2 linked regions of the Oreochromis niloticus genome follow. Each later gene encodes a partner of the first gene's protein in a complex. Links are inferred from orthologs where the notes say so. Each region holds a gene or a part of one and is shown on either strand. Other genes may lie near its edges. The genes, in order: nsun4 and mterf4.

The links.
Region 2: the proteins of nsun4 (region 1) and mterf4 are in contact, whole or in part, in a crystal structure (PDB 4FP9), measured with the Homo sapiens proteins. The link is inferred for Oreochromis niloticus from reciprocal best matches to the Homo sapiens genes NSUN4 and MTERF4. Residues at the interface, in NP_950245.2 of Homo sapiens: Pro61, Ser62, Arg64, Val65, Leu68, Ser69, Glu70, Arg136, Gly137, Asp138, Ile139, Arg141, Asn367, Leu368, Met369; in NP_872307.2 of Homo sapiens: Tyr267, Glu269, Arg270, Leu271, Gly272, Arg273, Glu311, Glu312, Val315, Phe316, Lys318, Leu319, Arg322, Glu323, Glu326.

What each region holds. Positions count from the first base shown.
Region 1 is NC_031982.2:11,041,531-11,052,506, forward strand, and holds the start of nsun4 (5-cytosine rRNA methyltransferase NSUN4), read right to left. Parts: upstream 4,826-10,976; 5' UTR 4,711-4,825; coding exon 4,618-4,710; intron 3,297-4,617; coding exon 3,077-3,296; intron 2,818-3,076; coding exon 2,670-2,817; intron 2,583-2,669; coding exon 2,428-2,582; intron 2,305-2,427; coding exon 2,144-2,304; intron 2,019-2,143; coding exon 1,894-2,018; intron 1,739-1,893; coding exon 1,606-1,738; intron 1,475-1,605; coding exon 1,331-1,474; 3' UTR 1-1,330. Other genes in the region: cytochrome b-c1 complex subunit 6, mitochondrial, read left to right, coding at 4,995-5,042, 5,438-5,494, 7,397-7,558, 7,634-7,666; ATP-dependent DNA helicase PIF1, read right to left, coding at 8,673-8,720, 9,031-9,222. UniProt on the Homo sapiens protein: Mitochondrial RNA cytosine C(5)-methyltransferase that methylates cytosine to 5-methylcytosine (m5C) in various RNAs, such as rRNAs, mRNAs and some long non-coding RNAs (lncRNAs).
Region 2 is NC_031982.2:14,335,051-14,345,754, reverse strand, and holds mterf4 (transcription termination factor 4, mitochondrial), read left to right. Parts: upstream 1-5,285; 5' UTR 5,286-5,411; coding exon 5,412-5,438; intron 5,439-5,698; coding exon 5,699-6,110; intron 6,111-6,208; coding exon 6,209-6,393; intron 6,394-7,307; coding exon 7,308-7,700; 3' UTR 7,701-8,546; downstream 8,547-10,704. Other genes in the region: pask (PAS domain-containing serine/threonine-protein kinase), read left to right, coding at 1-119, 209-335, 837-1,402, 1,489-1,631, 1,764-1,931, 2,041-2,166, 2,276-2,410, 2,520-2,719 and 3 more; probable G-protein coupled receptor 148, read left to right, coding at 9,121-10,083. UniProt on the Homo sapiens protein: Regulator of mitochondrial ribosome biogenesis and translation. Binds to mitochondrial ribosomal RNAs 16S, 12S and 7S and targets NSUN4 RNA methyltransferase to the mitochondrial large ribosomal subunit (39S).

The sequences.
Region 1 (10,976 bases):
TCGCATTATTAGGCAAAGCCATCAAACCTGATGAATAAGCAAAGAACAAGACAAGCCCATTTTCATTGCCGAGTTAAAGAGAGCAGGTAATTCTGATGGAAATTTGTGTTTTTTTCCCAAACCACAAACATCATCCCTGTGCAGCTGACAGAGTACAGGAGGACAAACACACATAGTGAAATTACAGCAGCATTTCCACATATATACACTCAGTGTCCTCTAGTGGACAAGGAAGATACAGGACGCTTGTGCTCTTGGTCTACTGTTGACACCTAGAGGGCAAAAATTAAACAGCAACTCATAAATAGCTATATATGAGTGGAGGAGACCTTTAAACAAAATGACACATCCTTCCTAATTGTATTCCTAATCCTCTGTCCATTGTTTTCTTGTAGCTATCGCCTTTAACTTATGATCAATTTTAGACAAACACGACTTTAATATTAATCTTTAATCACACTCAAAATGTGATATGAATGTACAGATGTACAGTACTGACTAACAAGTTATTAAATGGCTATTTGACTTTTTCTCACACTATCATATGCATATCCTGGCTGTGTGTCACATCTCTTTAATATGTCACAGTAGAAAAGATCTGTGCAAAGAACACTCTGGTACCCTCAGGTGAATTCTAGTGATAATGTAACTTTAAGTTACATTAATTTGAATTGTTTATGGATAAAAAAACCTAAACATCCACATCGTCAATAAGTTAATGCAGTGCAAGCTCAGTTTAATTATTCGTTTAACTGCAGTTTAGGGCTTCCGCATCAATAATGAGGACCAGCATGAATGATGAGGACATTGAAGGGACGGGTCAATGCAGGCCAGACTTTAGGAAGTACTCCTCACGTCCCTTTGAAACTAACAAGAGGTCATTCATCAGCTTGTGCAGCTAGTTTTAAAGCATAAGGACCCTACTAGCAAGCCGCAAAAAAGTGGATTAAGGATTAAGATAGGATATTGTGCGCTCAGAGTCACCTGTCCTCACTGATCCACTTCTGCACTGAGAAAAATCTCTTTCCTGTTCGTCTCATGCTTTACCTGAACAATCTAAAACTGATATTATTTACATTTGCTGTGTAGCCTGTAAAGGTGACCCAGCGTTAAGGCTTAGTAATCATATAGGACTGAGAAAACAGGAAAAAAGAGAAACGTCTCTGAGAGTCATGGCTGGCTCAGAAGGCTTCAAAAAGCTCCAGAACACAGTTATGATGAAAGCCCGGGTCCACCAGAAGCAGTTTGCAAATCCAGCGGACTCTAAATCTGGCAGCAGAGTTGCTCAGTATTTGAAAGTCTCAGGCGAACTTGTGCAACAGTCGACAGCCTACGTCAGCCTCTTTAGCTTGCACATGTAAATGGGTCCAAAGTTAGCTGCTAGGTGCGGGATGACCATCTCCCCCAGGTGGAGGTCCGGAGCGAAGTGGAAGGTGTTCCCGAACATCCGCGTCAGGGGCCTCAGATCCACAACCTGAGTGTGGATGTGATGGAGATATGATGAAATAAAAGAAAAACGGACAGTTATTCTAGGTGTAATTTCAGTTTCTTTGCGCCACCACTTTGATACATTTCTTATTAATACAAAAAAAGTGTCTCACTAACCTGTAGATGGATGCCATCTTTCTCTCGAGCTTGGTAGATAGCCTGTTCAACCACACTGAGGTTCTGGTTCTGTGAGAGCGTGCAGGTGGAGTAGAGGATCTCCCCACCAGGACAAGCGGCCTGGATTCCAGCTCTGCAGGATACACAGAGGGTTCAATTTACATTACATCTAAATAAAGGTTTTCACTACCAGCTGTTATTTTGCTTAATTGTGTGCATATTTATATGAAACCACAGAAGCTTTAACAGCCTCAAAGCCCATTTTGTTCACATTTCCACCAAACTTACAGCAGCAGCTCCAGCTGTAGCTGCGGCAGCCTGCGTCTCTCCCCAGTCCGACTCTTACTGAATATGTTGTTGTCGTCCTCCATGAGTGAATGTCTGTCTGTTGTGCAGGGAACGTCAACAAGGACCTGAATTTAGAGAAAAAAAAGGAAAAGCTGAACAAAACTAAGAGTTTTTGAATAAAAACATAATGACAAAGAGCAAAACATGTGAATAGGATGAGTGACAATGTGACAATGTGGCACTGGCTTACTCTGTCAAAAGTGTTGCTTTCAATTTCCCCCCATTTAGTGCCATCGAAGGAGGTGATGCGCAGGTTCTCATTTGTCAATAACTGCTTAGGAACATAGCTGTGGAGGACCTTCCTCAGTCGTAGTGTTCGAGACACTGAGCTGTCGTTTATGCACAAAAACCCTTCGACATAAACACAAAACAGGTGGAAGGTTAACAGCAGAGCAGCAAACACATAACCAGTAAATATAAAGAGTGATTCAAAAAACAAACAAACTGAAAAAGGGTAAAAGTAGTTTGACCTACTGATGGCCTGGGTCTGAAGCAAAGCCAGGGTCTTGCCTCCTGGAGCAGCACAGAGGTCAAGCACGCTGTGACCTTCTTGAACATCCAGTGCGAGACAGGGCAGCAGAGATGCTGCGTCCATCAGGTAGTAACCCAACAGGCTGTTCTTGTCTGGCCTGAAGAGGAGAAAAGAGAACCGAGGATCAGACTGCACGCTGGTAGAAGATGCTGTTGTTAGTAGCAGCATAGGAAATATTGCTCACCTTGCAGGCTTGAATCGTGTCACGTCGCCTCTCGGAAACACTAAACACTTGATGTTTGGGCTTAGAGATAGCTGCTCACCATCAACGTCAGAGCTCTTCATGGAAACATCACTAGGTTCCTCTGATTTTTCCTCCAAGCAAGAAGGAACTGCAAATTATATGCCAGTCACTAGATGATATAAGTGACTTTTTAATAGTGTTAATTACTAAGGTATTGACTTTTCCCAGTGAAATGTTTTAGCAAACAGTCTATTGAATGAATTTAAATCAAGTCATTCACACTCCAGTGCTATCTTCATAAAATTTTCTGAACTCTTCAGAGCATCAGAGATTGCCACAGCACAGTATTTCTGTCATTAGTAATAACCAATAACCATAACTGTGACTGTGACGGCTGGCACACTCACCCTCTCTCTCTCTTTCACTGATGAAATCTATGCATCCCTGAGCTTTGAGCTCTGCCAGAACAGCATTATGGGAGAAATTATTGAGCAGGGCTCCATATTTTCTCTCTGACAGCATGGCGAGTCGCACTGAGGGCCACAGCTGCCCCAGCTGGGTGCTGTAGGTGGCGTCAAAGTGATGCACAGCCAGTCTGGTGGGTGGGAGCTTGGGACGTGTAGCAGCCTGTCAGAGAGCAAAGGAGGACGACATTTAATATAAATGTTCATGTTTATCCATGCTCTCTTTGTGCCAATTTCAATATAAAATTTAAATTCCCAGGAGAGTGGAAAGCTGTCTTTAATACACGTAAAATTAGAGTAGACCTATAATGTACATCTGTGCACAAATATATGTACCTGACCATTTTCAGAGGCAAGTTTTCTTTTTGTTAAGCCACTCAACACTGACCTATGAATCATTCCAGAACAAAAAAGTCTCCTGTCTCAAAGGATGAACCAGGGTTGTATCTATACATAAAAAACAACTTAGCAAAGAACCAGTTTTAAATTGTATCTTTAGGCACTTTGTTACTGCCAGGCTGTCACAAAACACATCAACTCTTCCCATTTCTTTAGTTGAATGTATAAAAAAAATGCCAAAGATAAAACAGTTTGATAGACATAAAACAGCATTTTTGGACTGATTTCACCAAAGAAACTGGACAACTCGAGAAAAAAGGGGCTAAAACCCCCCAAACTATCTACAATGTGAACAGTATCTGAAAGTCATGTTGGGTGTTGGGGATCTCATCAAAATGGATGAAACTATGAACACACAAATGTATGGTCAAATTTTAATCCACTTTGCAACACATCTAGGAAGTGTCTGACTGGCAACAGGATAATAAAAGCAAATACAAAATGAATACAAAAACACAAAGTGGAACACTATCAGTCATGGATTGGGCCTCCCCAGAACCCGGATTTCAACGTTACTGAAGCAGTGTGGGATCATCTTGACAGATAACAAAACAAAAGGCAGCCAACATCCAAAGATGAGCTCTGAATGTCCTTCAAGAAGCCCAAAGAACTATTTCTGAAGATTACTTAAAGAAATGACAATAAGCTTGAATAAAGATTAGGATCTCAATACTGTGGATGCTTAATCAGCATCCACACTAATAAGAGAGTTCCTACTGTGCTGAAGAATAAAGGTGGTCAAGGCAAATATTGACTTTCAAGGTCGTTAGACCTGTACAACCTCAGAGTCAGAATACTTTATTAATCCCTAAGGAAATTATGTGGGTTACAGTTGCTCCAAGACAGTAACAGACTAAACTATTTAAATAATATAATATGTTACCGAGTTTACAATTTTTTTTTTCTTTTCGACTGTGTTTAGCAGCTACACGAGATCTAAATGCAAATACTGTCTGGTATTATTAACGTCAGTTATTTATTTTCCTTTTCTTTAATTCCTGTCAGTCATCAGATTTTTTTCAGGATGCCTGCTCTGTGTTATACTTATACAAATGCTTTTTTCTATCTTCCCGTTGAGCACGTACCCATTTCTCTTTCACTCGGTGTCGTCTGGGTGTCAAACATCTTAAATCTTTAACTTTTCTTAACAGCAGGCTGGTGTCCCAGAGCAGCGCCATCTTGCCGTGCCCCAGCTTTTTTTCCGTCCGACTTTGCGCTGACAGTTAAACAATGGTTCCGCATGCATTGAGTATTTGAATGGGGTAGGCCCTGACACAAAATGGAGATCTGTTATTGGTTCACTGGGACATCAATAATTTCAGTGAACCAATAAGAAACGTTATCCGGTGATCCTTCTAGTAGTTTCCGGCGTGTGACCGACCTCGCGTCCTCAACCAGAAGTAGTGAAACCGAGGAGTTTCAGCTTTCTGAGTTTTATTTTGTAAAATTGTCAGACGTAACCATGGTTTTCGAGAAAAAAATGCTCACACACGGGGACCCCGACGATGAGGTACCGAAAAATATCGTATTGTGTCTTTATAGACTGGTCTGTGTGTGTGTTTGACGAAGTTACCCAACTCTGCTGCTCATCTTAGCGGTGTACCCTTCGAGTTTACTGTCAGCTCCTTTTAAGACTTTAAATATAATTATCGGCATTAAACGAGGCTGGCAGCTGAAGGTGTTTCACATACTCTACAATACTTTGAGAGACTGCTTATTTTAACTGTGACTGATTCAGTGCGTTTCTTTCATACGGCACAGTTTTATGAGGTGATTACAATATCTGGACATTCTTCAACGTAGTTAATAAAAATGTACACAAAACTTAAAAAAGCCCTATAAATCTGTAAGCTGTGTTGGTTTGTAACTGGATTTTAAAACATTGATATAAATGTCTCTAAATAGGAGGAAGATGCCCCTGCTGAGGAGGAGGAGGAGGAAGAAGAGGAGGAAGAGTTGGTGGTAATTATTTATTTATTTATTTATTAATATTTATTATAAAAACATGTATTCTGGTGATAAACAGCTTTTTATGTAGGACAAAAGGTTGAAAAAAACCTCAAGCGCCGATGGGTTACTATTCAAAGTCTGACTGATTTATCGGCGGGCCAGTATTATCAGACGATATTACCTATGTGTCTGTATATTGGTATCAGCAAATCAGCAAACGACAAATTATTATTTAAAAAAGACAAACAAAAGAAACACCCTTCTCCTATGGTATAAGTGTTGATGAATATTTTGCCCGCCAGAGGGCACTCTGCAGCTTCCCTGCTGGCAAAACTTGTTTGTTACACCACAAACACAATAACCAGTTGATCTGAGCAGTGTAAATAAGTTAATTAAAAAACCCCCAAAATGCCAGTAATGGATATTGGAGATCTCTGTTTGTTTTCTGTGTTTGAAAGGAAAAGAAATGTATCAAAATACCAGATTTTTACATCTCCATATATATGTATAGGTCTTAAAATCTTTACTGTAATGACCAAGGAGACTTGCATGTTTACTGGAAGAGCTAGGAATGGAACTATGGCTGTTGAGATGAGCATAGTGGTGCACAACAAGGTGAGTTTAGTGGCTTAGTGAGGGATCTCAAGCTTAAAATCAGAGTTTTATATGCTAGGATATCAGCTCTCTGTGTACCTGGTAACTTATGCTGAAAACATATAACCTAGTCTGGAGGTGATCTTCAGAGTTGTGAGTTAAAATCAGTTTGAAGCATTTTCACTGACTCCTGTGCATGTATTCATTTGGTGATGCAAAACATGTATAAATGTTTTATATTTTGTTTTAATCTGCTATTAAGTCTCTTTTGTACTGATAGTATTGCACCTACTAGAACACAGAACACACAGCAGAATAACTGTTCAAACATTCAAATTAATTTCACTTTGATCTGCTAAAATAATAATGCAATTTCCACATTTTCATTATTAGGCTGTAGGACAGTAACCATCAATGTTTAAATTGGGGCGATCGTGGCTCAAGAGTTGGGAGTTCGCCTTGTAATCGGAAGGTTGCGCAAGGTTGGGCAAGACACTTCACCCGTTGCCTACTGGTGGTGGTCAGAGGGCCCGGTGGCGCCAGTGTCCGGCAGCCTTGCCTCTGTCAGTCCGCCCCAGGGTGGCTGTGGCTACAATGTAGCTTGCCATCACCAGTGTGTGAATGTGTGTGTGAATGGGTGGATGACTGGTTGTGTAAAGCGCTATACAAATACAGGCCATTTACCATTTAAATGGATCCAGTTTAAAATTTCTGAGCGCAGCCATGATGTTAGAGATAAACGGCAGCACAAACACAGAGGTTTGTTTTATTGCTCTGTAGAGTAAATCACTTGATTAACATTTTTCTACAGAAATAATAAACAGCTTTGCATTTATTTTTTATAGATTTTAATCATGCTTCTGATGTAGAGGAACACTCATAGGGATCATTTTGAGTCATATGATGCTTCCACAGCATGTCTTTTGTCCCGTCTTCCTTCTCTCACCCCAACCGATCGCAGCAGATGGCTGCCCCTGACCCTGACCCTGGTTCTGCCTGAGGTTTCTTCCTGTTAAAAGGGAGTTTTTCCTTCCAACTGTCGCCAAAGTACTTGCTCATAGGAGGTCATATGATTGTTGGGTTTTTCTGTGTGTATTATTGTAGGTCTGCCTTGAGGCAACGGTTGTTGTGATTTGGCGCTATATAAATAAAATTGAATTGAATAAAACACCCCATTTTATTTGAGCACAAAGAAAGCCTGGCTTATTAAACCTCTAACTTCATTATAAAATCACCTTCATGGTTTGAGAGTTGTGGTTTTCCTACCAGAGTTTTTGCCATCATTTTCCTGATGAATAGCATGGCTTCCTTTCTTTTTAGGACCCTTTAGAAGCGATAAGAGCTAAGTGTGAGGAGACTGAACACTGTGTGCACTACAAGGAGCGTCTGGAGCTCTGTGAAGCCCGGGTCAGTACAAGGTCCAACACTGAGGAGGAGTGTACAGAAGAACTCTTTGACTTCCTGCATGCGCGGGACCATTGTGTAAGTGTGCAATAGACAAAGGAAAGATTATTCTCCTAGTGATGATGCTCATTGTGCCATCTTCTGTCTCTACAGGTCGCACACAAGCTGTTCCACAATGTGAAATGACAATCTGTCCAGTAGACCCGATATGATTTCTGATAATGTAAAATAATCCACAAATGAAGCCTGTTGTTGTTCTCCTGAATTTCCTTGGACTACGTTCCTGACACCTGTTTGTATGCAGTGCATACTAATATAGCTGATAGTGACTCTTGATGTCGATACTGCTAATAACATATTGGAGCATGCACTCTAAAAATTCGTATCAAGAAGGGATTGGCTGTAATGAAAATGTGATGAGGTGGAATGTTAAAGTATGCTGCTACAGTAATGGAAACCGGCTCAGGTTTGGTCATAACTTCACTCTGCTGACCAGAAAATAAAGGTTGTCTTTGGATTCCACTTAGTCTCAGCTGCTTCTTTTCAAAGCGTCTGCATCCTCAGACGTGGGCTCCATGACTGATGGTTTAATTAGTTTTATCCAGCCACCAACGCTAAATGCTCTCACTGATGTTTACGGTAACACAAAATTGGTCTCTGGTTGACGGCATTTCTATTTAATGGCGCATGCACAGGAACACTCGTCCCACGTTTGGAAGTTTTGAAAAGCAGTTGAGGTAAAAGTTAATTGGCTCAGAGCATTTTTTTTCTCCCCACAGCTTTAACACAGACACTGTTAATTCCCTTAGTTCATCCCAAAACGGGTGGGAAAATGTAAGGAGTGGATGCTGCCACTCAGTGACTAAAGGCAGCAATAGATTTTATTTTCTCCTTGAGACCTGTAAAGCCAAGGAGCGTCATTGTTTGAATTCAGTGTTTTTCCTCCCTTAAATATTAATGACTGATAAAATACTTCACGCAAATAATTTGGCTAAAATTTTATTTGAATACATGCAAAAAATAATTTAAAAAAATAAGCTCTGAAAAAAAAAAGTACAGTGAGCAGATGGTGGCAGTGTGACTCCAAGTAGAGATGGTAGATTGAAGTCTCAAGAAAATAAGGTTAAATGGTGAAATAGCTCAATAACTCATGCACATAGTGCATATCATTAGAGTGGATTTAGAGCCAGCCTCACCATGCATTTTCTTTATTGTTGCTAACAAAGTCTTCCATGGAGGCCTGCAGAGAAAAATGAGGACAAAGAAGATCATAAGTACAGCTGGTGAATGAAGTTTTTCCATCCACAGCACTCCAGTGTAGTTTGATCCATCTCACCAACTCTAGGGAAAAAATGAGCTCTCCAGATTATTTGGTTATTTGGTCTCATTTTGTTCTGCTTAACATAAACTTAACGTTGAAGTGAAACTGCAGAGCTTAACATTAAACCATTGCTGGGCAGCTACTTATATGAACATGAGAAAGTGATAAAAATGAAAATGTGAGATATGAATCAACAGCTAAGGTAATATTTGGTAATATTTGCCCTCACCTGCATGAGCAACCTCTCCTTCCTCAGTTTTCTGTAGAAGAGGAGGACATCTGGGTCTGCCCGGACCACGCGGGGGTCAAAGTCCATGACCCTTAGACCCTCGAGGTTCCGAGCCCGAGACAGGGCCACGTAAGCCTGGCCGCTCTCAAACACACGAGCTAAAGAGATTTCCACACAGTCCAGCGTCATTCCCTTCAAAACAAACATGACAGCCATCATTGTTAAATAAAAACAACACATGCACTGATGGAAGTCCAGCATTTGAAAAACCCAAAAGCTGACTACTCAAACTACTCACAGGTCTTAAAAAATAAAATTAAAAAAAAGGTTGGGACAGGGCCATGCTTGCCACCATGTAGCGTCCACTCTTCTTTTAGCAACAGTCCATAAACATCTGTACTATGAAGAGACCAGCTGCTGGACTTTGGGGAGAGGAATGTTTTATTATTATTGTTATTATTATTATGTTTTTTTATACCCAATAATGTTCCTGACCTGATGTTCATCCAGCTGTTTCTTTTTAGTACCACTTTTCCAGCCTTTGTTGCCCCCAACCTTTGAGACATTTGCCACCCCCATCAAATTCAGCATGAGCTAATACTTTTCAGGACATGGTAAAATGTCTCCGTTTAAACATTTTTAATGTGTACTTTTTGATTTGTTGCGAATAAAATCATTTCATTTTTTAATTTTACAAGATCCCAGCTTTTTATCAAGTGGAGGGAAACACAACAACAAAAATATATAATTGTTTAGTCTACAGTATAAGATTGGTGACAGGCCAGGAGCATCAAACTTTCAAATTCACCTGACCAGCGTATACACCTCCAACTTGGAATTATAATTTATTCAGGTCACCCATTTCCCCTGTGAGGACATTGGTATGGAATCAGATTTTTATACCCTTGTGCCCTGACACGTCTGCTGTAGATCACTGGCTTGCACTTATTGGTCATTACCAATTAACCCAATTATCCAGAGGTGACCCTTTTACCTTTAGCTAGATTCTCAGATGGAGGTCAGGATATTGACTGTGTCAGTGCAGCAGAGCAGAAGATTGGTGATTGTTGAGTTACAGCTTGTGGTTAGATTGGGCCTCTATAGCAATTTCCCCTCAAATAGAATTGTTGCACTTAGTCTTGCCTAGCTTGGTTTTCTCTGCCTGTTATACAATCATTATAAGATTTAAAATGGCCAGTGGGACTTTTTATGTGATACTGTTGTTTTTGTGCTTTGTAGGTGGCACACAGAACAGTGAGGAAGGGAGAAAACAAGAGAAAAAGGAGGAGAGCAGACCCTAGTCTGACCAACTCTTTAACACAAATTTACTCTACTTGCTCTCTGTTAAAATCTCAGAAAATGAAAAGATGATTTAAAAAAAAAAATCTTACATTTATAAAGATATTATTCTGGTATATTTTAAGATGTGAAAAGAAAACCAAATTAGTGGTGTGTCAAGCCAAAACAACTTGTTACTTTTACAATCTGTTTACTAATGTCAGCCATAGACAAAAAGTCTTTGAAATCAAGCTGTACATTCAGAACATGTTAAACAGAGGAACTCTACTTCGCTCACAGTGACAAACAGGAATCTGTGATCGACTGATTTTTAAATTGATCACAATGTGAATTAATGTTTTTTAAAAATATGTCAGCGATTGTAGCGATTACGTTATGTAGTCTTTACTGCATAGCCACCACTGTTCCATTTTTTTTAAATAGTCCAAACTAATAAAAATAAAAGCAATAAAGATATTGGATGGAAAATATTTTCATGTAGTGGAACATAGAGTAAATTAAATATTCATTGTATTCCATATATTCCTTTTTCTAATTTTTATCCCAAATTTTTAATTTCTTACACTGAACACTGACAAAGTGTGCAGCTTTTCAAAGTTGATGACAGAGGGGAAAAAGATGTTTAGCAGGTATGATGTTCACAATCT
Region 2 (10,704 bases), about 3.3 Mb from region 1:
ACTTCCAGATGACGACACCTGCCGCTCTGTTCCCACTGAACCATCGCACCAAAAGAGAGAACAGCAGCCGGGCAGTGAGGTTCAGAAAAAAGATGAACCCGTCCCTGAGAATATCCCAGGTGTGACGTAGCTCTGCTGATGTTTTCTTTACATAAATGGAGCTCAGCTATAAATACAATGTACAATGAATGTTCTTCTTCTTCTCTAGACTGTCCTGCTGGGAATGGACATGCTGTTGATAAGATCAATGACAAACCTGATGTAGGAAAAGATCACCGTTCATCTGCCTCTGTTTTTGAGGAATCGAGCTTTGAGGTCATCTCAATGGAGAGCCGGTGAGGGGAGATATTTTTCAGTATGTGGGTAAAATGAGGCCCTGAAAGCGTCTGACGTGCCTGGTTGAAACTTCAAAGAATCTAAAGATGCTAATGAGAATGTCAGCGCTCGCAGTTACGTATATCATACTTTAAAATATTGCACAATGGCAGGAAGAAACAGACAAGTTTCAGCCTGTAGCTTAGAAATGCTGTCTCATTGATATTTTTGGCGTCTTTAGTGGGTCAGCACCTTTTTCGACTGTGTAAGCCTTTTTCAATTGAGCATGCCTCCTTTTTTGTTTAGTTAGACTTCAAAGAAAACTAGAAACATTCATTTCACATATCATTTGCTATACTAACACCTGGATGTGTTTCTCTGTGTTTTTAATACAGTATTTGATTCCACTGTCAAACATTTATTCATTTCTTTGCTTATTTCAGCTTTAGACGTTTCCTTCCTTTACAAATATATTTTTCATGTATTCATGTAACAATGTTTTGCTTTTTCTAATTTCCTAGGTCTTCTTCTGGCTTCTGTGAAAATTTTGCTGGCCACGGTGGTTCTGATCCAGCCCAAGCAGTGGACTCAGCCAGTGTCTTTCTGGACCTAAACAGCAATGGTGATCTGGTTACCCGGGCCCTAGCAGAGCTAGACCTGGGCGGTAATATAGAGCTGCTCAGTGGCGGAGGAGGCAACAATGACAACCAACACTCTGTGGCATCATGTGATACGGCTGAGCTCCTGCGGACTCCCTCCCCATGCATGGTGCTGTCTGACCAAGAAGCGGAGCCCAATGAGCCTGGGGACGCTGCTGCTGTGGAGGCCAGAAACAAATCAGCTGATAAACTTGAAAAGCATAAGGATGAGCAGGTTCACTGGGAAGCTGTCTCTGCAATTCATCAAGGAAAGGGCCAAGAGGGCTGTGAACAAGTGAATACTGGGATTCAGTCACTGACAGATATGCCTGCCACATCAACTCCCAAGAAACAGAAGGTATATGGACACAACCAGTCCTCAGATGCCACACGTATAGTGGAGGGGCGATTTGAAGGAAGTGGATACCACAGAGACGGCACGAGAATAGGTTGGTGTTAAACTCTTTACTGTACTTTAGATTCCTCCTAAAAATCAAATGCAAAGCAACAAGTATTTTTCTCTCCTTGTGTGCAGATGTGCTGTGTGATGTGTGCGGGACTAACCTCCCAGACGGAAGCTCCATTTTCTGCGTGTGGATGTGCAGACTCAGCCAGCAGGGGGCGTTGTCGCAAATGGATCAATCACTGCACGACCAAACAGCAGGCAGTCTAGGAGAGGTCAGTGGCTGTAATGATCTTAAGTCTAGGTCAATAAAGCATGGTTTTTATCTTATTTATATTTTAATTTAAACTTCATTAGAGGCAGTTGTGCTTTTAACTTGGTGATCATTTACTCGTTTCTTCATGAAGAGGATTGGTGAGGCCAGTCAGGGGGAAGCATTGCGCTCCACCATGGACCTCGAGCAGTCTAAAGCCTGTGATGGACAGTTTGAAGAAGAGTACAAGCCGATCAAAGCTGTTGGTAAAGGAGCCTTTGGATTTGTCTGGAAGGCAGAAAGGCGCTGCGATGGGCAAGAAGTAAGAAAAATATTTGGGGGGTTTTTTTGTTGTTGTTTGTATATGTAGTTTTTTTGTTTAGTGTTGTTTTTCAGAGGATGATATTATGACCTATTTTAAAAACCTACAGGTGATTGTGAAGTTCATCAGCAAGACCAGAATAGTGAGCGACTGCTGGGTAGACGACCCAATGTTAGGGCGAGTGAGCCAGGAGATCGCCATACTGACCCGAGTGACGCACCATAACATCGTTAAGGTCGCCGTGTGGTTTGCATCACATGACCCTGTCGCAAGTTTCCAAAATAATGTGTTTTTAATCGTGAACTGTGTTGCTTCACCTCATACACCTGTGTTGGTGTCACCAGGTGCTGGAGGTGTTTGAGAATGGGAGTTACTTTCAGATGGTGATGGAGAAACACGGAGACGGTTTGGACCTTTTCGAGTTTATAGACAAGCAGCCGAGGCTCGATGAGCCCCTTGCCAGCTACATATTCAGACAGGTACACGCACAGGCAGAACAATACAACCGTGTCAGGAGAGTGGGCTCATAAATGTGACATGAAGTGTTGATTTGTTCCTTGTTAAAATGCAGCTTCTGTCTCTTCCCAGATTGTGGCAGCGGTCTTCTATCTGAGGACCAAGAACATCCTTCACAGGGACATAAAAGATGAGAATATCATAATCGACACATGTTTTCACATCCGACTGATAGACTTTGGCTCTGCTGCTATAATGACTCCTGGGAAGCTCTTTTATCATTTCTGTGGCACCCTTGAGTACTGCTCCCCAGAGGTGCTACAGGGAAATCCGTGAGTATACAATATCTGTTAATTCTCTTTTTTTCTTTTTTAAAAAAAATGTATTTTATTAAACTTGTAGGTTAAATAGCATCCTTATGTTTAAAGAAGTCACTTAAATTATTGAATCTGCATGCAGAGTCTAGTTAAGAGTTATTTTTACAGTCCTAGATTACATTTATGACCCATTGAACTCATAAATTGAGCTCTAGAGTATTCAATTTTGAGAATACACCATCAGCACTGAATTAACTTGCTAATAATTATAGGCTTCTCTCATAAGTGGGCTTCTTTTTGTAGCTATGAGGGTCCAGAGCTGGAGATGTGGTCTTTGGGGGTTTTGCTCTACACGTTGCTTTTCAGCGAGAATCCCTTTTGTGACGTGGGTGAGATCCTGGATGCCAAACTAAATCCCCCGTATCATCTCTCTCCAGGTACACAGCCACCGCTTGTGATTTCACAAAATATGATCCTTTGAGTTTATAGAGAAGATTTTGTCCAGTCAGATTCTGAAGTTTTTCTGTGTATTCTCTCAGAGCTGGATGATGTATTACATGGGCTGCTTGACCCTAACCCAACTCACAGAATGACTTTAGACCAGCTGCTGCTGCAGTCCTGGATCAGCCAGCCCATTTCTCTATCAGAGTACACCTGGGCAGAGGTGGTTCCTGAAAATCTGAGCTGCTGTGAGTACTTTTAAATGGTACTGTTGGACTAGTAGGTGTCAGACTTTTTCTGATATTCCCCACCTCAGGAGGTGGAAACAGTTTATCCCTTACACCTCTTAATACTCATCACTCTGCAACAATAAAATAAGTACATAAGCATCAGGCCACTTTGATATTTTTTCCCCTTGAAATGTAACAGAAATTCAACTTAGTTTAACTTCATATTTTTCCTTTTCCACCTGCACCACAGTTTGAGAACCTGTAAATTAAACTGACAGTCGTTAGCTATGTTTTAATATACTGGGGCCTCTGATCTTTTTATCAGGTTTACCACAGCACCAAGAATCCAGTCCTAAGGCGTACATCGGGCAGAGCTCATTTTCAGACGGTGGGGATGACACTCTGCCTGAGGATGACGAGGAGGAAGATGAGGATGAGAGGTTGGAGATTGCAGCCCTGAAATCGGAGCTGCATAAGTACCTCGTTGAGGATTAAAGACTCTGCTTAAACAAAGTGAAGCCTTCATGCGAACTGTCAAATCACCTATTTTATCTCGAGTCACTGAACAAAGATATGAATGTTGAAGAAAAATGAAGTGCGTCTCAATAATGGGACGCTGCTGCCGGGACTAAATATGAGAGAAACAGACTTCTGACTTAATCATGGGTCAGTCACACTGTGCTTGTTTCTGTGTTCAGGATGTAATCTGTTTTATTTATTTTCTGCAGTTTGATGAAAAATTAAAGCAGCAAAAAGAAATTGTGACAGTTTAAAGTATCACCCAGCTTTACTACAAAAACACAATAACTATAAGCTGTTACCTCAGAGAAATCACACAAACTCATTAAAGTTAAAGAAACTCTTGATCCAGCTTTTTTTTTTTTTTTAAATAATGGGCAATTTATATTCATTGTTTTATTCTTGTATATTTTAATTAAAAGTGTAAGAATATCTGATATTTATCTATTTATTTTTATACATCAATAAATGTATTGCCACAAGCATGTTCTCTTAAATCAGGTAACTGCTACTTAAATTTATATCCAAAACACTAAATGACTGCAGTACTTGTTGGGGACACATTTATCAGGTTCCCAGCTGGTGTTAAAGCTGCCAGATTAACAGCTGCTGTTATTTACAGGCTGCCATTTCCTTCACAGACTTTCACGTTATTTCAAAGTAGAGAGGAGGGTGGTACTGCAAATATTTCATCATGAGTACATTACACTAGCTACAGACTGTCAGCTATTCCAATAAAGTTGAACATTTATTTTCACTGTGTATTTGTGAAGATATGAGTTCCTGAAAAGTCCTTATAATAACACTGAACCATTAAAAAAGCCCAGACTTTACTTTTTTTTATGTATCCTGATTGCATTCACCATGCTGATTCTCATCTGAAAATATGTTTTGTAATTGAAAATGATTAACTCATGACACTGATAACATGAATTGAGCACCATAAGCACCATATCATTACTCAGGGCAGGAAAGCGCTGCCAAAAAGTGCCCTAAAGTCTCTATTTAGACTGTTAACTTGATGATTCTTGAAATACAATCTGTCAAATACATCAATCACGAATTATATCAAGCAACTTTGAGGCACAGTGCACAAGCTGCAATTAGTTTCTGGTAAAGTGACTTTTGAAAGTGTCATTGAGGTTAAAAATGTGTTTCCAAAAAGCACTGAATTTATTAGTACAATCACGCAGAGTCATAAGGCTAAAACAAGTCATTTCTTTATTTTATATGTAAACCCTAATGACTGCGGTCTATTTACAGATAGAACAAAGATATTAGACACTTAAAAAAAACATTGAGAATCACTTTTTGGCACGACACAGGTAATTTAATTAGGAAAATGTCTGTCTTATAAGATTTCTAAATCATGGTCACACCATCATATTTGATTAGCCGAATATATACCAAAGACTGTAGAAAAAAACTGTTTTCTACAGTCAATGATATTTACACACATAGCGGAACCTTTGTACTCTTTAAGTTGGAGGACGGAAATATTTCGATAACGGAGAAGCATGGGAACCCGTGTTGCTGTGAATCAGGTGAAGTATATATACAAACTATGACGATTTAGTATCTTTTTCCTCGAAGCAGAAATAATTAAAGGTGCAAGACTTTTAACTGAATGGACCCCTTAGTAAAAAAAAAAAAAAAAAAAAAAAAGGAACGAAAAGACTGACATTTATAACCTTCACGTCTGCTAACTTGAGCTAATGATAACGGTGGAGTTTGTTAGCATATTTTCTGCCCCCTCTACCGCTGCTGTCTGTGAGGGTTTTTAAAGGCGTGTATTTTTCCACAGGTACTACGGTTGGCTGTGAGAAATGCCACCATCTCTACACTGTGTCCGCGTCAGTTTGGGAGATACTACCTCCAGTCCAGATGGTGTTGTTCCTCTACCAACCAGGCAACGCAGCACAATCAAGACTTGAATCCTCCGAGTGGGATTCCGGTCACTGAGCTGTCCCTGCGCTCTTTCATTGATATGGGCTTCACAGAGAGTCAGGCAGAGCAGATATACGAGTCTCTGGCCAATGTCAGAAGAGGAGATTCTGCCAAACACATCCTACCAACCCTCACAGCTCTGTTTGTCTTGGGCCTCAACCCGTCCAGTGTGAAGAAGTGCCTGGAGAAATGTCCTGAACTTTACACCATCAAAGAGGCGCAGCTGCAGCAGCGCATAAGCAACCTGCGGAAAATGGGCTTAGTTGAAGGTAAAGTGTTGCCTTTGCGCAGTTTTTTTTCTACATTAGATCAAGCATAAATTTACTGAAAATATATGAAACCCGCATTTTAATCTATTTCTCCGTAGGCAGCCTTCAGAGGGTGGTGGCCCATTACCCCAGGATCCTGACTGTGCCTTTGAAGAGGGTCAAAAATGTGGTGATGTTTCTCAAAGAGAAGTGCCTGTTTACTTCCCAGCAGGTCACAGACATCATCAGAGATTGTCCAGCAGTGGTGCTGGAGAACTTGGATCAGCTGGAGTACAAGTTTCAGGTGAGCAAGTGAATCGTGTTTGCTGCTTTTTGTTAGGTTTTGGTTTGGATTGTCAGACAAACCTGGCCAAACAGACCTTATACTTGGGTTCTGTGTATTCAAATGTATAACAATCAATGGTTACCATATTCTTTACATAAATGATGCAAATGTGAATTCCTAGATGTTTTGAATAAGTTATAAAAGATGATAAGCACAGTGGGCAGATACTCAGTAGCTCCATTCCAGTAATAATAGACTGAATGTTATTTGTGTGTATATAATTTTTTTTCAGATCTGCATTTTATAATCCTGTGAGCACTTCTGCAGTTCTCTTTGTACAGTGCAGAGTGGGACAGTGTGCATCCGCATTGCACTTCCCCACATGAAAGCACACCGTCCTTAAGATCAGCTCAGAGTTTCAGAATAGGAGTATCTCCTGTCCACACTTTTATATGTTGTCCACTTAAAGCTGTTGTCAAACTGTGTACTAACTGTGTTGACCAAATGTACAAGCATGTGTTCTCAATATCACTACAACATCATAGTTTTTGTTTTCACTTTTCACTCTACACGCTTCATTGTTAAAACCCTGGCGTGGCTAGGCGTAAGTGCTGACTTCAAACACCGTCAGATTTCCATACTTTCTACTGTAATGAAGATAAACTAATGAGTGTGGAGACTAAATCTGAAACTGCGTGAAAGAAATTTAACTGTTGACTCACACCTCGCTACAGAAAGGAACAAACATGGTTTCTATCAGGGTTTCTTCTGCAGTTCACTAGAGAACTGCTCAGTCTATAAGAAGTCTGATATGGGCTGTATTTTAAAATACATAGTTGGTGCGCTGCTCCTTCCGAATAACAGCTAGTATTCCCGAAGTTTTGTTGTGTCTGTTTCTTTGTAACAGCACATTTTACCTCCTCTCTCCACAGTACGTCTACTTCAGAATGGGTGTCAAACAGGCGGAGATGGTGAAGTGCCGACTGTTTCGTTACAGTCTGGATGAGGTCCGCTGTCGACACACTTTCTTGGAGCGACGGGGCCTCTATGAAACCCCGGACAAGAAAGGACAGACGACGATCATCAACCCCAGTCTGGACAGCATCCTTAATGTTGACCAGGACACCTTCCTCGCGCACGTCGCCCAGGCATCAGCAGAGGAGTACGACGTGTTTAAAAGACTGGCAGCCAGGGAGTGGCAGGAAGAGGAGCTGCAGCAGGGCAGGACTGAACCTGATAGTGACGATGAGGACGACGATGAAGATGTAGACGATGATGACGATATAGAAGCAAAAAGTGGATATGGGAAAAGGAGAAAGAAGTGACTGCTTGTTGAACCAGTCTTTGTTTTTTGCTTTTTAGGGAAGTTCCCTAGATTATCATCTAAACCACCCATGGGAACACAGGAAGAGCCTTTTGTTATGGTTTATGTTAGTGGTTTCATCAGGATGTAAGACATGAGGACGTTGGTGTGAGACTGTGGGTCAGTTCTAACTTTGGGTGAGGAAAAATGTCTCCCACATAATCTTTTTGTCAAAGTGTCAATAATATTTTTGAGTTTCCTTCATTGAGGGCATAAATTAAATTAATTTCAGAAGCTTGACTTGTGAGTCGCATTGAAAACAGGAGATGACTGCCAATCCCTTTAAGTGAGTTTTCGAATAAAGTCAAATAAATTCTTGAAAACCAATCAGATTTACTGGGCAGAAAACACTTTAAAAGCTACGGTGTGGGGAGCTCCACCTTGTTACTATGTGACAGCTGAGTGTTTGTAGCTCTCTGCAGCCCCTATATTATCTCTCTGAGTCAACAAAGAGTACATTCAGAAAGAGCTGTCCAGTGAGATGAGTGCTGCAGAGCACCGTTTTATTTATTTGAGCATTAACGGATGCACACCACAGGCAGGTTTTTCCATTTTTGAGCCTCAGGTAAGATCACTCACCTTTGTTCAATCGATAATTTGTCAATAAATACGTTTATGTAGTCATTTCTGGGTTTAGTTTTGCTCTTTTTGTTCAGTGAGTACAAATTTTGGTTGGGAACGTGGTTATCACGGTTGTGGTATTCAGCTTAGTTATTTTTATTTATTTTTTGATGAGTGAATCATGATGTGCACCTGATTTGTGAGATTTCACATGAAGAGAAGTAGATGTTCAGGGTCCATTGTTGAATATTTGTTCATATTCGAATTCTGGCAACAAGCTTCTGGCTGCTCATTTTAATTATTAAGTAGACTAAAACAATTTGACTGGACTGTAAAATGAAAATTGCATGTTAAAAAGCCAGCGCATTAAAGCATTAGACATTACTACTTTTTTTGGGGGTTTTTTTGCTTTTGTTTTTTTCCAGCCTGCAGCCTAACAAGGTTATCATTGTATTAAACACACACAGAGATATTATTCATGTAGAGATCACATTTGCTCTTTGCTGCTTGTGTGAAGATTTGCAAATTCCAGCTTTTACGCAAATGCATAAATATAACATATAGTTTGCTTATTCAAGTAGAGACTCGAACCATATTTGCATTTAGTTACAGGTGATTTGTACAGTTTCTTACCTGCTCATCCAGTTCAAATTCGCTGGGTGGATTAGCGTGGGGGTGTATCCCACTTTTAACTGTAGTGCGCTGTGGACAATGAATTATGGTGTTTTTCTTTCACAGGACTTGGCTGGAGAAAGTAGGGACTGGGCTCATAAAACACGCCTGTGTCGCCATCTGCACTTCCTCCGTGACTCACAGGTGCAATGACATCACCGATACCAATTTCAAACATCACGCAGGAGTGGGTGGAGATTATGCAGAAGTGGCACCTGGATTTGTTTTCCATCCCCACAATAGTCCTCACTCTTGCCACCTTGCTGGCCAGCCCTGTTCTCCTGGTAAGCATTTTCCTTTCCCGTGCCCTGCGCCAGGAGACACGTTACCTGCTATTGGCCAACATCCTGGTGGCAGACCTGTTTTTGGTCCTACTCAACCTGGCCATGGTGATTTGTAACGCCTTGAGAGCACCAATGCAATGGTTGGGTTGTGAGCTGGTCACAGCTCTCACCGTCACCAGCTACTGCTGTGCCGTTTACACGGTCACGCTCATGGTGGTCGACACCTATGCTGCTGTTCGCTGGCCTCTCCGTTACCGTGACGTTATTCCACCTTCCCGCACCTACTGCATACTGGTGGGGGTGTGGGTGTTAGCAGCCATATACCCTTTCACAGTGATGATCAAGACACACATAGCGAGTGGGAACTCCCATGAAAAGCTACCCGTGTGTCTGGTCCTCATCTCCCTTGGATTCATTCAGGACAGGAACGTGACTGGGATCTACATCTACTTCTTCGTAGCTGCACTCATGTGTTCACTGCTCATTTCTTACTGCTACATTCGCCTCTACATGATAACGAGGACACAGGGAATCTGGCATAGCCGCTTCTCCAGGGCCAGGGTCACCCTGCTGGCCCACGGGGTTCTGCTCCTGCTCTACTTTGCCCCCGGCTTCCTTTTTACCCTGGAGCTCGTTCTAATAGACAGGAAAGACATACCTCAGGATGTTCGCGTGTGGGTCTCCACAGTCAATATGTGTGTTTTTATGTTGCTTCCCAGGGTATTTGCTCCTTACCTGTATGGGATCAGGTACAGAGAGATCTCAGACACAGTAATGCTGCTGCTGCTGCACCAGCACAGGAGACTCAGCCAGGCCACAGCTGCGTAAAGAACTGCTGTGTTTCTGAACGACTTCTAAAGGGTCAGACTTTTATCTGCATGATCTGTAAAAATGCCAAGAATCAAATTGTCATAGAGAAACACCACAATTTATTTTATTTTATAGTTTAGTCTGTAGGAGTTAGATTTCACCGAATCCAGAACTTAGACTCTGTGTTCCAGCTACATTAATAATGCAATATCACCAATGTTTTATTTGTATTAAGCACTTGGATTTCTTTCTACTTTCTCTGTTTGTGTCAGGGGTTGAGAACTGTGTTGCTGCTCTGTGGATCTCGGTCAGAAGATGCTGAACTTCCCTGCTTTCATATTTATGTAACACACAATCCCAGGCCTCAGTTTTATGACTAAAGTAATAAAGCACTAAACTGTATTAGTTTTTTTAAAGCCTTGTTTGTCTAAAGCTGGATTTCTAAAGAATCCGACTTGGCGAGAAGGGTGATGGATAATGGTGAGTCGAGCATCCTGGCAGCAGGCGGCTGTAACCAGTTCAGCAACTTAACAGCAGAGGGACACATTTGCCTGTTGATCTTGCAAAGCACAAAAGAATAGTAGATGTGTTCTTTGCTCATGGCCTGGATCCCTGCACTCTAAACAACCTCACACTGCC